3 linked regions of the Oryzias latipes genome follow. The protein of the gene in region 2 interacts with the protein of the main gene of each other region in a pairwise test. Links are inferred from orthologs where the notes say so. Each region holds a gene or a part of one and is shown on either strand. Other genes may lie near its edges.

Region 1 (4,946 bases), on a different chromosome or scaffold from region 2:
TCATTTTAAAAAATAAGGATTATTAAGAACATGTTAAAAACAAGGAGAAGAGAAAGAATAGTTATTTTGTCAAATAAACCTACAGAGTTTTAGCTGTTTATTTCTCATAGAAGTCTATGGGATTTTGGCTTCTTGGAGACCACAGTAACTTGCTGTTTGGAACGCAAGAGGGGAGGGTTTACTCAGTCCAGTTCTCAGTCAATGGGACAGAGAGAGCAACTGCTTAACAGCAGACACTTCTCCAATCTGCCTTTCCATCTCATACTCCGATCTTCTCTCACTCATGAACAAGACCCCACTATACGTCAACTCCTCCATCTGGGACAAAAGCACTCCACCCACCCAAAGAGGACAAACTACCTTTCTCAGATAAAGAACCATGGCCAGACTTAGCAGTGCTGACCTTCCTCCCAGCTGCTTCACACTCACCCCCAAATCACCCAAACACATGCTGGAGGTCTGGGCTCCATGAAGCCAACAGGCCTGCATCATCTGCAAAGAGCTGAGAGGAAATCATGTGGTCCCCAATCCAGACCTTCTCTGGCCCCTGCCTGAGCCGAGAAATTCTATTGATTATAAACAGAACCAGTGAAAGAGGGCAGTCGGAGTCCAACATGAACTAGGAACAGGTCCGACTTACTGCCGGCTATGCAAACCAAGGTCCTACTACGGTCATAGAAGACCAGATATCCCTCAGGAAGAATCCTCTAACTCCATACTCACAGAGCATCCGTTACGTTACCACAGGAGACACTGTCAAATGCATTTTCCGGATCCACAAAACACATATAGACTGAATGAGTAAACTCCCATGAACCCTTCAGCGTCCTATGGAGGGTGTAGAGCTGGTCCATTGTTCCACAACCAGGCTAGAAACCACACTGTTGTGCCTGGAACTAAGGTTTGACTATTGGAAGGATTCTCCTTTCATGTAGGCTGTCATAGACTTTTCCAGGGAGGTTGAGGAGAGTGATTCCCCAGTAGTTGAAACACACCCACTTCTTGAAAAAAGGGAACCCCCACCCAAGTCTGCCAGTCCACTGGTACAGTCCACGACTGCCACGTGATGCTTCAGAGACATCTCAGCCAAGACAGTCCCACAGCATCCAGAGACAAAAAGCAGGCAACAAGCTCCCTGCTCCACCACATTCTGATGTATCAACTTGAAGACAAATAGAGCCATTGATTTAATTCTCCAGTTAATTAATAGCTCCAATATTAGTGATCATTTTTGTTGCACTGCTAATGTTAGCCTTTGGTTGTGAGGGGCTGTAAGCTAGCAGGAGAGAGTGTCAACAAAGGATTAATGGAATATCAGTGCAGGCAAACTCTGCCCCAATAGTCCTGCCCACAACTCAGGGATAAACCTCTGATGAACTCCTGCCACTCTGTAGAAACTATGTCCTTGAAAACAACACAGTTTTTATTTTGCCTAAAAACAGCATAATTATAATTAAGACTACTGGCAATGCTTTTATAATAGATCAAAAGTAGATTGGAGTGGGACCTCAACTTTCTTTTAAAACTATTTGTTTTCAGACAAAAGAAAAAAAAAAACATTTTACCTGATTCTTAATGTAAGAACTCACAATTTCTTCTAATTTTGTAAAATTAAATCCCAAATAGAAAAAACACAGACACACAAGAACATAAAACTCCAAAAGACAGGACAGACTCTAGCAGGCTTTTGAAAACACCCAGTGGTGACTGGCTTCAAGGGAGCAAGTTAAAACGCACATTTTAGGTTTGGCTAAAATATGATCCAAAAACTTCAAAAGACAGAAGGTAAATATTCATTTATCTTCTAATCTGTTTATATACGTGGCTGCCGGAGGCTAACCACTGCACCACCGTGCCGTCACAAGGTAAATAAATGATTAAAAATTTAAAAATGAGCTACATGGAAACTGCAAGTCCAAATCTTCACAGCTCCTCATTACTCTTGACAGGACATTTGAGGAAATTTTACAAACAGAAATGATTACTTTCCCAAATATCAGGTAAAACATGTATATTAAGTAATAATATTTGTCATGTTGTTGTTCAGGAGGTTGAGGTAAAAGATGAAAGGAATAGTGAACAACAAAAAAACAGAACATGTAGAGAATGTAGTAATGAGTGTAGCTGACCCTCTGAAGATATAAAGGCTTTTAAAGCATGTTTAAGTTTAAATAACCATGTATGAAATCAACTTTATGCAGAATTAACTGTTAAGAGATACTCTTCACATTAACCAGTCACTACAATGCTGCTCTTGGTAAAGGGGCAAAACATCAAATTGGGTGGGTGGGGTAATTTGTTTTTCTTAAGCTGCATTTTTAAAGTCATTTTGAATGCACTTTGACCTCAACAGGCGGTTTATTTAAATCACTTCTAAATTAGATTAACCCTTTTTGAATTATGGTAAAAAATAGCCCACTTAAGGTGCAATTTTCTTCCGAAGTAAGCTGTGGCAGGACTATCAGAGACAGTGCATGAAAGTTTACCGAAATAAGCATGCCGACGACCTCGTCCACTTTGTTATTTTTACATTCAAGGAGGATTCCTGGGTCAATCCCTGAAACCTTATTCCAGTCGAGAACGGTTGGCATTTTTTGACCGTTCGTAGCTAGTAGTGGTACTCAGGGAGAAAACTGCCAAGAAGAAGAAAATATTTAACGTCAAAAATCAGTCTTCAAATAAACGCATTGGAAACGTCATGTATATTATGGGTCACAGACTGATTATTGAAGCTGCACAACAATCTTCCTGAGGTCTGGCTGCTAGGTTACCGCTAACAACAGCTAGTCTAAAAAAATAAAAGCTAGTTACCATTAAAGTATAATAATAGAAGAGAATAAAATTACCGCATTGCGTGTAAACGGAATATTCGACATTATCCCTAAACTTGCCCTAGTCAAACAAATAATTTGTGGTCTAAACAAGACTACGATAAAACCTTGTCAAATTCCCTCTAGCCGCCTTCGGCTAGTTTTGAACGTGCGCGTTCACCTTTGAACCGGAAGAAGAGGTAGTTGGGATTCAGCTACGCTAGCAGGTACTCACAGCTACATTTGGATTAATCCTGCTCTTCTGTTCTGGGATATCTCAGTGTTTTGTGTGGGGTTTGCTGATGCTGTCGTCTGCTCTGGTGTAAGCTAGGTGACACAAATCGGAGTGTTTTGCAGTAACATTGAAATGCACGCAGATGCTTTCGAACGCAGCCTGGAATCAAGCTAGTTAGCCTTAGCTACCTGTCTGTGGAAGTATCTACTCTTATGACAAGTTACAGCAGATTGTTTTATCTTCTTTGTTTGTCAGTGTTTATGATAAACATTGCTATTAAATATTGATAGCAAAATGGGTTTCATTTGTTTCGCTTGCTTCACATGCAACGTTTCCCTTATGTCACCTGGACTACTGTGTGTCTAGCAGAACCAGAAAGTACTAGTAGTTGTTTATTATTTTGGGGGGTTCTTGAATTATTAACGGCGTTGTTGTTATTCAGTTGCATATATTAAAAGGGGTAGAAACCGGGGTGTTTTGCTTGGTAAGTAAATTGTTTAGTTTAGAGTTAAATTTGAACAGGTTGCACTGCAGCAGCTGCACTTTGACATCTAGTAACCTTTGGTCGCTTAGTTTGACCCGCATTTAAATTAAGCGGTTTCCATAATGGTTTATTAATTCCCCATAAATGATCAGTCCCGTTTGCTCTCCTTTGCAGTGATCAATGACGGCTTTTGTCAGAAATGGCTTTCGTGTCGTGGAAGGAGATTGTTCTTTTGACTGGACTGGTGGCGGGATGCTACTGGAACAGTCTGTCATGTGGGTTTGTGTTTGATGATGTCTCTGCCATCCTGGACAACAAGGACCTCCGGCCCGCAACCCCTCTTCACAACCTTTTTCTTAATGACTTTTGGGGAACACCTATGACTGAGGTAATGACTACATTTTAATGCCCTTTTAATCATGTTGCGCAAATACACGCTATCCTTGATGTTTGTATTGTTCTGCTCTGTTATATGAAACCAAGAATAGGAACTCCTTTCCACCATGTTTGAGTTTAAATGAAAAAAGGTAAACTTTCATCTGACAGTCATTGCCACCTGTGTCCCGTTGCAGGAGCGAAGCCACAAGTCTTACAGACCCCTGACAGTACTCACATTCCGACTGAACTACCTCTTCAGTGAGCTCAGTGCAGCTTCCTACCACCTGCTCAATATCATTTTACACGCTGCTGTGTGCGTTCTCTTCCTGCGTGTTTGCCGACTGTTCCTGGACAAGACCTCCGGTTTGGTGGCGGCTTTGCTGTTTGCTGTTCACCCCATCCACACGGAGGCTGTAAGTCTTTCTTAAGGTTTCAAAAATATTTGTTTCTGCAATAGCTTTTAAAGTTGTCTGAAATGGGGTTTAAGTCTCCTACTGTGTAATAATTTTGCGTTTTGGTTTGTCGACGTATTGTCTGAAGATGAATCTGTGAAAAACTGTTGTTTCTGGCAGCATCTGAATGACCCGTGTTGAGCTTCATTGTTGGTTAAATTTAGGCAGACCTGGCAAATTCCAAGTCTTCATCAAACAATGAAATCACTGGAGAGTTTTGGTGCAAGAGCCACTATTGCAAAGTCATACTTAGAAATAGAGCATACACTATAAATATTTATAACACGTGGGGCTCCGTTAACATCTACTCACTTGTTTTGTTGTTGAGTTAACTATCTCGTGCTGACGACTTATTTTATTAACGCTCTGACAGTAAACCTGTGTGTTAAACCCTGTCTGTCATGGCATTCTATCTTCAACCAATGCGCCCTCCTTTCCTTTGTGAGCGGTGATCACGCTTTATATAAGCATTCCACAATGAGATTAGTCATTACAAATGGTTTTTTTAGATTACAATGTTCTCTTATTTATTGCAGAAGTTATGTTCCAAAGTTGGCTGTTAACCAGTTGGAAGCCAACTTAACACA
Region 2 (3,767 bases):
TTTTTGGCTGAGATGCACCATAAATGGTGTATTTGGTATGCTGATTTTACTGACATTAATCTACCGACTACTACATTTTCTGCCTTGAGATGGTCTTAAATGGTGCTGGGTGTCTTTTATTTTGAAAGGAAGTCGTGTAAACCGCTGTCAAAAGTTATCTATTTCCTCATTTAGAAAAGAGGCTGTTTTTTCTTTGTTTATATTGATGGGGACAAAAATAGTTAATTTAAATGTAAAAGCATAATATAAATGCCAATTGGTGTCTTCTTAATCTAAAGGGTGAACAAGGACTTTGTGGCCAGTGAGAATTGAAGTTTTGAAAGTTGCAGACCCCTAATCTAGAGCTATGTCTGTGTGTGAAAAAGCCTTAGGTGAGCTCTGATCCTCAGATGGATCTGCATGAAGGTTCATTGTCAACCGTCAGCTGTAAAACACATTTATATTCAGAGGTTCAGTCATTGCTGATCAGAAAACATGTAAACAGATGTCATCTTACTAATCAAATACAGAAATTGGGCAGGAAAGTGTATTTTTTTTACATGGTATATGGTGTATACTTATATAGCGCTTTTTCTACCTACAAGGCCCAAAGCGCTTTACACTCACAGACCCATTCACTCACACATTCACACACTGACATGTCTTGTCCTCTTAGTCACTTGAGGCTTATTTTGTCCCGTAAATACAGGTTCTATTTTATGAAGTTCCTGCACATGTTGGAGTACAAAATAAATAAATTGTTAGTGTTGAAGTGAAGGAGAAAGATGACTGTGGCTTCTATCAACACCAGATAGTTTTAGAGCAACCGGGGAATTATTTATGATATAAATTCAGGTGAAAACGTTAGTTCTCATGTTCTTTTAGAGATATATTCTGTAATGAGACATCTGACTATTTTTGACATTTTATTTTGATCTTTTGTACTTAAAAACATATTTCATATTCGGGTATTAACTCGAAATAAGACAAAAATAAACTAAATAGCACAATCTGGACCAGCACAATGACATAATCCAGGACAACAGTACACAAGCATCTGGGTTATTTATATTTGCATACAATAATTACAAAGCAGGGAGCTTTTTCCAAAGCAAATGATGCAGGTCAGTAAAAATCTGACCAGGAACCACTACCAATGTGTCATAAATCATCCAAAGAGGAAAAGATGGAATGTAATCTGGGAAACCATTGAAGCACATGACTGCTATGGACTAAAGATAGCTTGTTCAGCATAGATTAGGAGTTGAAGCCACCTTCTCTGTCTTTCCACACTAAAAATAGCAGATCTATGCACTCTTATCATTAATTTCTGAGCCCTTGTTTGTATTTTGCTCTTCCTTGTTGGACGGAGAAGCTGACAGCTCTGCAGATTGGTCCCCCCCCTGGATGGACTGCTCCTCTTGGTTTTGAGACTCAAGAATCTGGGCCCTGAACTCAAGGCGAGCTTGCCGGTTCGACTCCAGCAGTTCGTGCAGTTTTCCATTAAGTGCATCGTTCCGGTCCTCCAGGTCATCCAGGTAGGAGTTGATCTGGTCCAGCATGGAGTTTATGGCAGCGTACTCTGTGAAGGAGCACAACAGTCCAACATTAACGCCTGATGAAAGACATGGAGATTCAACAAAGACTGGAATGAGGAGAAATATAAAAATCAGAGCTTTGATGTCTGCAGTAAAATATAAAAAAAAAATTGTGACATTTTTCATATTTTTATGCAATTTTAAATAAAGTTGGGAGTTTTTGTTTTATTTCTTCTATTCTTAAATAAGGTTTGACCTACATTGGAATGCACTATTTTTTCCCACCTGCTAATCCATTTAAAAGTCAATGTCAAACCAAGATAAATGTGTACGAGGATGACCCTACACTTTGGTAAACAGTTACTTTAGGCAATTTTGTAATTAAAAATGAAAAGAAGGCGACAGAAAACAGGTGTTGTAGTGTAAATAAACCAGTTAGTCAAATCACAATGAACGGAAACATTACCCTCATCGCCAAATTCGTCCTCGTCGTCAATAATCCCATTGTCAGTGGAGATATTTGGATCGCCATTTGGTCCAGACATGATGACGAAGACACGAACAATATTACTTTAACACACCGATTACGTCTCCTTTGCTGTTCTTTTGCTAGCTAGATGCTTGTTAACCAACTAGCATCGATGATCTGCAACCATCGGGTCATCAGAATTACAAACTTATCTTGAATTTATTTTCAGATGATCGACTTTTGGTTTAAATAGTTATTAACAGCAGCTCCTCGGCAAGCCTGACATCTGTTGTCGACAGACGTTGTTTTAAGATCCAATTGAGTGCAGGAAATAAATTGTGTTCTATCAGTCCATAGTAAGAGGACTCACTACCAATTTATTGTCTGAATGAATGATAATTTTAAATCAGTTCTATTTGATGGCACATCGTTTTTATTATTAAAGGTTTTAGACTTTATTTTTACTTATTTATATCGTATTTACAGTAGTTAGTAAAAAATAAAGAATCTTAGTTTTGTAGACAACAGTTGTAATTTTGTAGAATATATCAAGAGTGACGCCTCTTTCTACTCAAACAATCTTGGTGCTTGAACTGTCACAGTCATCTGACGCAGCTCACATGACTTTTAGAAAATGTTTGAATAGTTTTGCTGTGTGTAGTTGTACACGGATTTTAATTGTCTACTTTCCATTTAAGTACACACAAAAAATATGTCTATTACTTGAAGTCGGATTTATATTTAAAACTTATTTTTTTGCCAGCAGCTTACTGATTTGCCCGCTATTCTTTTAAATTAAAACGTAAGGTTCCGATAATCTTATTATTTTAGATTGGAAAAAATAAACGTCAGATTATTTCTTTTTAGATTTATTTATCATTATTATTTGTTTCTGTTTAAAATATGTGACCGGTCCCGGTTTTGACCAGTGGGGGGCGCTTATTTTAACCCACTGAGTTTGCGCAAATGACCACGTGTATGTAGCTTCCGGTGGAGTAGGGTAATATTTTTTTTACCAGGAACTTTGTTTTGAAGATTTTGTTCTTGTTACTACTATGGAGGATTTACCTGCGGACCTCAGAGCTTTTCTCGTCACTCAACCGTTTTTTGAGCTTACAGATAATAAAAAGGTTAGCAACAATTTGCATGCGTCATTTGAGACACACGTGCACCCAAACAACTTTATGCTAGCACAGTGCTAATAATTAAGTGGAATGGCATTGTTTAACAATTTTAAATGTAATTGGTCGCATCGATGGGGGGAGGGGGGTAATATTATTTTTTATATACAACCACTCATATTTGTCATACACTCAGCAGCACCGCCTCGTTTTAACCATTTACATGTTTCTTTGCAGATCAAGTGCACTCTGAATGGTCATGAACTTCCTTGCAACCTGACTGAGCTGCAGAATTTCACTGAAGGGAAAAAGTATAAGAAACTGAGCTCTAGAGCTGAGTTCAACTACAGCCAGTATGAACCACATATCATTCCCAGCACAAAACAACCGTAAGGCCATTCTATGTCAGTCAATTATTTTTGGGGGTTAGGCCAATAAGTGATCAAAAGTGCACACAATGGAACAGGATAGTTTGGATTTTGGAATGTCTTCTCTGATGATACTTGTCTTTTTTTCTTCCAGCAATCAGCTTTTCTGTAAGTTGACTCTCAGGCATCTGAACCGGGAGCCACGCCATGTCCTCATCCACATCAATGGGAAACGCTTCAAGAAAGCCCTTGCTCAATGTTAGTGCATCACTTTATTATTAAACTTCGGAAT
Region 3 (4,782 bases), on a different chromosome or scaffold from region 2:
TAGCACAATGTTTCAAGGTGAGGTTTTGTCATAGCTCGCCATAGACTAAAACATCTGAAATGTGCCAAACATCCTGTACATAAAACATCCATGAATAGATGCAGCCAATAAACACAAATTCATGTCTGACTACAAATAGGCACATACAGAATCACAGATTAAGCAGGACCTGGTTCATCGAAACAACCTCGACACACAAACACTAAAGTTGAATTATGTATATCAAGATATTAAGAAAGATATTTTAACTAAATTACCTATTAGGGGAAAAAACTTAAACAAATGCAACAGAATCCATATTTTTATGGAACATCTTATTTGACAGCCGAGTCTGCAGTTTGAATGAGTTTGGTAAACTTCTTTTGTTGAAAAAGAATATAGGGGGTGAAAACATATCCGGTGCTTACACTGGACTCCGGTACAATCAGATTCACATTTAATGATTAAAATGAAAAGTTAATGTGTGGGAAATGTTTTCATTCAGTCCTACTTACTGCATTTTGCAACTTTGCCCTTTAATTTTTCTCTGGAAAACAATGAACTAAATTAAGAAATACAAAGTGAAAAAAAACGTAAAAGTTTAACAATAAAGGGATTTTTTTCTTTTCTTTCTTATCAAGAGTTAAACACCCTAAGATGGTCAGTTGAAGTGAGCCTTCTTTAAAGAAGGAATAACAATCTTACGTTGTTGAGCCCCAACAGTGTGTTTATGTGATTAGCAGTTATTTAATTACTATTATCTACATAAACCATCCCATCCTTCACGTCAGACTTGGCGTAAAGTTCATGAGAGTCTGGTTTCAGGCGGCCATGCTTCATTCATCTCCTTGTCCCTGTTAGGGTGGTCTCCAGGTTTGTTCAGGAGAGTTACATTTTCTTTCTGAAACCAACAGGTGGTGAGTGGCCGAGCAGCCGGTCCCGCTCCCGCACCTCCTCCTGCAGCTTGGCCTCGGTGACCCGGAGCTGGCGGATGGTCGCCTTCATCTCCTTCATCTTCACCTCCATCAGCGCGATGATGTCCCGCTGCTCGTTCAGTTTCCGCAGTAGTTCGGCTGACGTGGTTCCAGTCGTCAGGGAGTACGAGTGGTCCAGAGGGCTGCTGGTCACACTCACGTAATGCACTGTGGGCTGGTTAGTGCCGGTTTCCAACGAGTACTCGTCGCTTCTCAGTTCATCCGCGCTGCCGCATGGCGCGGAGTAACAAGTCGCCTCTGACTGAGCCGGTAGCCGCGCGGTGCCCAGGTACTCCCCGTTCTGGCCTATTTGAACCACGGTAATGCTGTCGTCGCCCGCCTCGCCTCCAATGCTGCCCTCGGCTCCTCCGGCCGTGTTCCCAAGCACGCTAGTGGCCACAATCCCAGAGGTCGCTGCGGCGGCGGGGGCGAGGACTGCAGCGTAAACCTTTCTCCCTCTGCCCCGCCGACACCTGCGTTCATTCACTCCACGCAGGGGAAACAGGGACGGCACTCGAACGGAGTAGGTCTTCCGCCCTCCGGCGAAATGCACACTGCAGACTCGGTGTCCTGTGGTGGGCTGAAAGGTGCTGAAGCAGCCGCTGACCCCGGCCCGGGAAATATTCCTCAGCCACTGCTCTCTTAGCGTGGTGTCCTTTGGAAATGTGTAGAAGCGCAGCTCCCGGTCCCGGTGCGAGTTGTTGTAGCAGCCAGGCACACAGCACGTGAACCCGGGCATCGTTTATTCAAAGTCGATGCTTAAAACACGATGGTTAAATGATGCTTGGATTATTTAATTGGTGCTTTTTTTCCGATGCCTTGCTATCAAGCGCCACGGCCTGCACACAAAACTACACGTCCCACAACGCTATCAACTTCCTGTTTATTTTCACTAAAAGTGAGCTGCTCTCCGAGTTTGAGGACTTACTCCAGCCGATTTGATCCAAACTTGCACGTGGCAAAACTATTTCTCACGACGATTTCAACGTTTAAACTTTATATTCAAGAGCGTCGTCTTGTTTTGTTCTGCGGCGCGTTATCAATCCGACCACCCCACTATGTAAACTACAAGTACCAGATTGCTTTGCGCTTCCAATTTTGAGCCCCACATAAATATGGCGCCCCCTGTCGGACGGATGAACGTCCGAGGGGCGATTCTTACTTGTCCTGCAAGTTAATTATAAGACATTTTTATCTCAATTTTATTTGATAAATCTTATGATTTTATTAACCAAGTTTTATATTCACAAATCTAAATTCAGCAATAAATCTCCTAATTTTCTTGATTTACTAGCCCAAGTTAGATGTTACTTATAGAGCAAGTACATGAGTACAAATACCTTGGGGTCTTACTTGATGACTCCTTGACATTCAAGCCCCACATTGAAAATGTTGTGAAGAAACTAAAACTGAAATTGGGTTTTCTTTTTAGAAATAAGCTTTGCTTCTCTTTCAAAGTAAAAAAAGACTTGTGACAGCAACATTTCTATCTGTTTTAGACTACGGGGACCTTTTGTACATGAATGCTTCAAATCATTGTCTTTATAGATTAGACTCTGTGTATCATGCTGCTCTGAGGTTTATCACCAATTGTAGAGCATTAACACATCACTGTGAACTGTACTCTCGTGTGGGGTGGTCATCTCTGTCCACAAGAAGGCAAGGACACTGGTACATTTTTATTTACAAGGCCATGCTTGGACTGCTTCCCTCCTACATTGGAGATTTACTACAGAGGAGAAATGTTGATTCATATTCATTGCGTTCAAATGATCAACTGTTGCTCAATGTTCCATTTGTCCGCACAGAACTGGGAAAAAGATCTTTTTCTCACGCTGCTCCCACGTCATGGAACACACTGCAAAAAAACTGGAAGCTCCCTGATCTTATCTTTTTAAATGATTTTAAAACCAGACTGAGAGCACTTGAGGTCAACTCCTTTAAATGTAACTGTTTTTATAATTGAATGTAATTTTATTTGTTGTCTGTGTTTGTAACTTTGTGCTGCCTCTTGGCCAGGACTCCCTTGCAAAAGAGGTTTTTAATCTCAATGGGACTTTCCTGGTTAAATAAAAAAATAAAATAAATAAAACTTACTTACTTTCCATTTCCCCCAGTACAAACAAAAAAACTGTTAAAACGTATCACCTTGCTCAGCTGTATAATTTAATATAATTTTATTTTCTTGCCTGTATATCCCCTGCCGTTTATTTTAAACATTTGATGTACAGTTTATTGTTCCTTGTTCTTTTGCTGTATGTCACTTTTGTTCTGCATCAATAAAAAAAAAAGTAAGCTGATTCATATTGTCCATTTATTTATTTGCTTGCTTTGTTTCAGGGCTTTTCCTTATATGCACACATATTTATGTTTAAGTTACTGAGTACATTTAAGTTCTTTATTAGTAACACATCTAGTTATTATAGCTATGATTTAATCAATTTTTTATATTTTTAATATATGAAAAATTTTCTTATCTTTTTTTACCTAAATCTTCTGGATTATTTAAAAATTTCTATTGTTTTCACTCATCAAACGGCCTTTGAAAGGTTATTTGTTTTTTGCTAGTTTTTTAGTTCAAGACAAACGATATTCATGCCTTTCGACAAGTACACACTCAAACTTTGGACCTTTGCATAAAGCCAGCTCTCAAAAAACTACTTCTTTTGCAATTATCATTCTCACAACATCAATACAGACATATATACAGTGTGGCTGATCTTTACACTGAGGTCAAAATCAGATTAAGTGTCTGTATAGTTTTAACTGGTATCATTAGATGTGTCACAAAGTAATTAACTAGTACTTACTAATCAAGACAGATCAGCTACGTCAAAAACAAGTGGGGGCATTTAGACAAATAACAAACTTTCAAATGGATGTAGCAAGAATGGTTAAAGTAGTACTCTCAATATATAAACTGTAGTCTTGTATTTTCTGTTACTGTCCACACATAATTCTGCTAACAATTAAATAAATCTTATACATAAAAGTATGCACTTTGCTATTTTCTCTTCTGTCTTCGTCTTTTTGATTACATTTTACAAAACTGCTCTCAGTGCACAAGTTGGTGGAGTGTACAAAGCTAAAAGCACTAGAGTTCCAGGTGAGCTATTTATAAACTTAGAAAAGGCATTTCCAGGAAGCAGAATTGGCGAAAGACTCCTTCATCCAGGTTAACGTCTTGAGGTTATGTCATGGCATCTGGACTTAGTCTTCTTTCAGAAAACCTTTCAGCATCCACAATTAAAATCTCCAATAGGTGTACTTTTAAAGGTGAATCCCTACAGATATTTTGAAAACATAAAGACAAATCTTGAAGTGAAAAATCTTTTGAGAAATGCTAAATGACACTTATATCCCCTAAATAAATGTATATGAAATATTTGTTTTTAATAGAATATCCACTTTTCATTGATACTTTGAAAAAAACTGTGCAAAAGTTGATTAATCTGATCATTTATTACATTTCTAAAATTATCTATTCACAATGAAGTTTATTACATTGCTCATCTCTGAACCGTTTAAAAGGAACCTAAATAAGATGTTTATAAATTTTTAAATTTTATATAAAAGAGCTTTAAAAATTAGCACATAAAAACTAACACATAAATGGAACTATACTACCTTTTTTTACTATAAAGTTTCATTGTCTATTGAAATAAAAATAACGTATTCCTTCTTCAATAAGTTTTAATTCAAAAAGAATGTGTTTAGTTTAATAAAGGTTGAGAGCGAATGCTGCAGTAGTTTTCAATGTTTCCGGTTTCCTCTGTCCTGCTTCTGTTCGCGGCTTCTGATTGGCTGCTCCTGGAGTTACCATGACCCA

Evidence for each region. The genes of interacting proteins can lie anywhere in the genome.
Region 1: the proteins of c12h9orf16 (region 2) and cep290 interact in binary tests that used the Homo sapiens proteins (3 or more experiments, as listed by UniProt). The two-hybrid records come from large-scale screens. The link is inferred for Oryzias latipes from reciprocal best matches to the Homo sapiens genes BBLN and CEP290.
Region 3: the proteins of c12h9orf16 (region 2) and thap11 interact in a two-hybrid assay, tested with the Homo sapiens proteins (2 studies listed by BioGRID and IntAct). The link is inferred for Oryzias latipes from reciprocal best matches to the Homo sapiens genes BBLN and THAP11.

Annotation. Positions count from the first base shown.
Region 1 is NC_019864.2:2,332,860-2,337,805, forward strand, and holds the start of cep290 (centrosomal protein of 290 kDa), read right to left. Parts: upstream 2,957-4,946; 5' UTR 2,847-2,956; intron 2,634-2,846; 5' UTR 2,592-2,633; coding exon 2,487-2,591; intron 1-2,486. Other genes in the region: tmtc3 (transmembrane and TPR repeat-containing protein 3), read left to right, coding at 3,729-3,917, 4,102-4,320. UniProt on the Homo sapiens protein: Involved in early and late steps in cilia formation. Its association with CCP110 is required for inhibition of primary cilia formation by CCP110.
Region 2 is NC_019870.2:12,173,605-12,177,371, forward strand, and holds c12h9orf16 (UPF0184 protein C9orf16 homolog), read right to left. Parts: upstream 2,333-3,767; 5' UTR 2,063-2,332; coding exon 1,984-2,062; intron 1,562-1,983; coding exon 1,287-1,561; 3' UTR 1,028-1,286; downstream 1-1,027. Other genes in the region: surf2 (surfeit locus protein 2), read left to right, coding at 3,042-3,116, 3,345-3,496, 3,630-3,733. UniProt on the Homo sapiens protein: Essential for intermediate filament organization in intestinal cells, interacts with intermediate filament and regulates intestinal lumen morphology.
Region 3 is NC_019861.2:21,742,687-21,747,468, reverse strand, and holds the start of thap11 (THAP domain-containing protein 11), read right to left. Parts: upstream 2,957-4,782; 5' UTR 1,693-2,956; coding exon 868-1,692; 3' UTR 1-867. UniProt on the Homo sapiens protein: Transcription factor, which has both transcriptional activation and repression activities. Also modulates chromatin accessibility.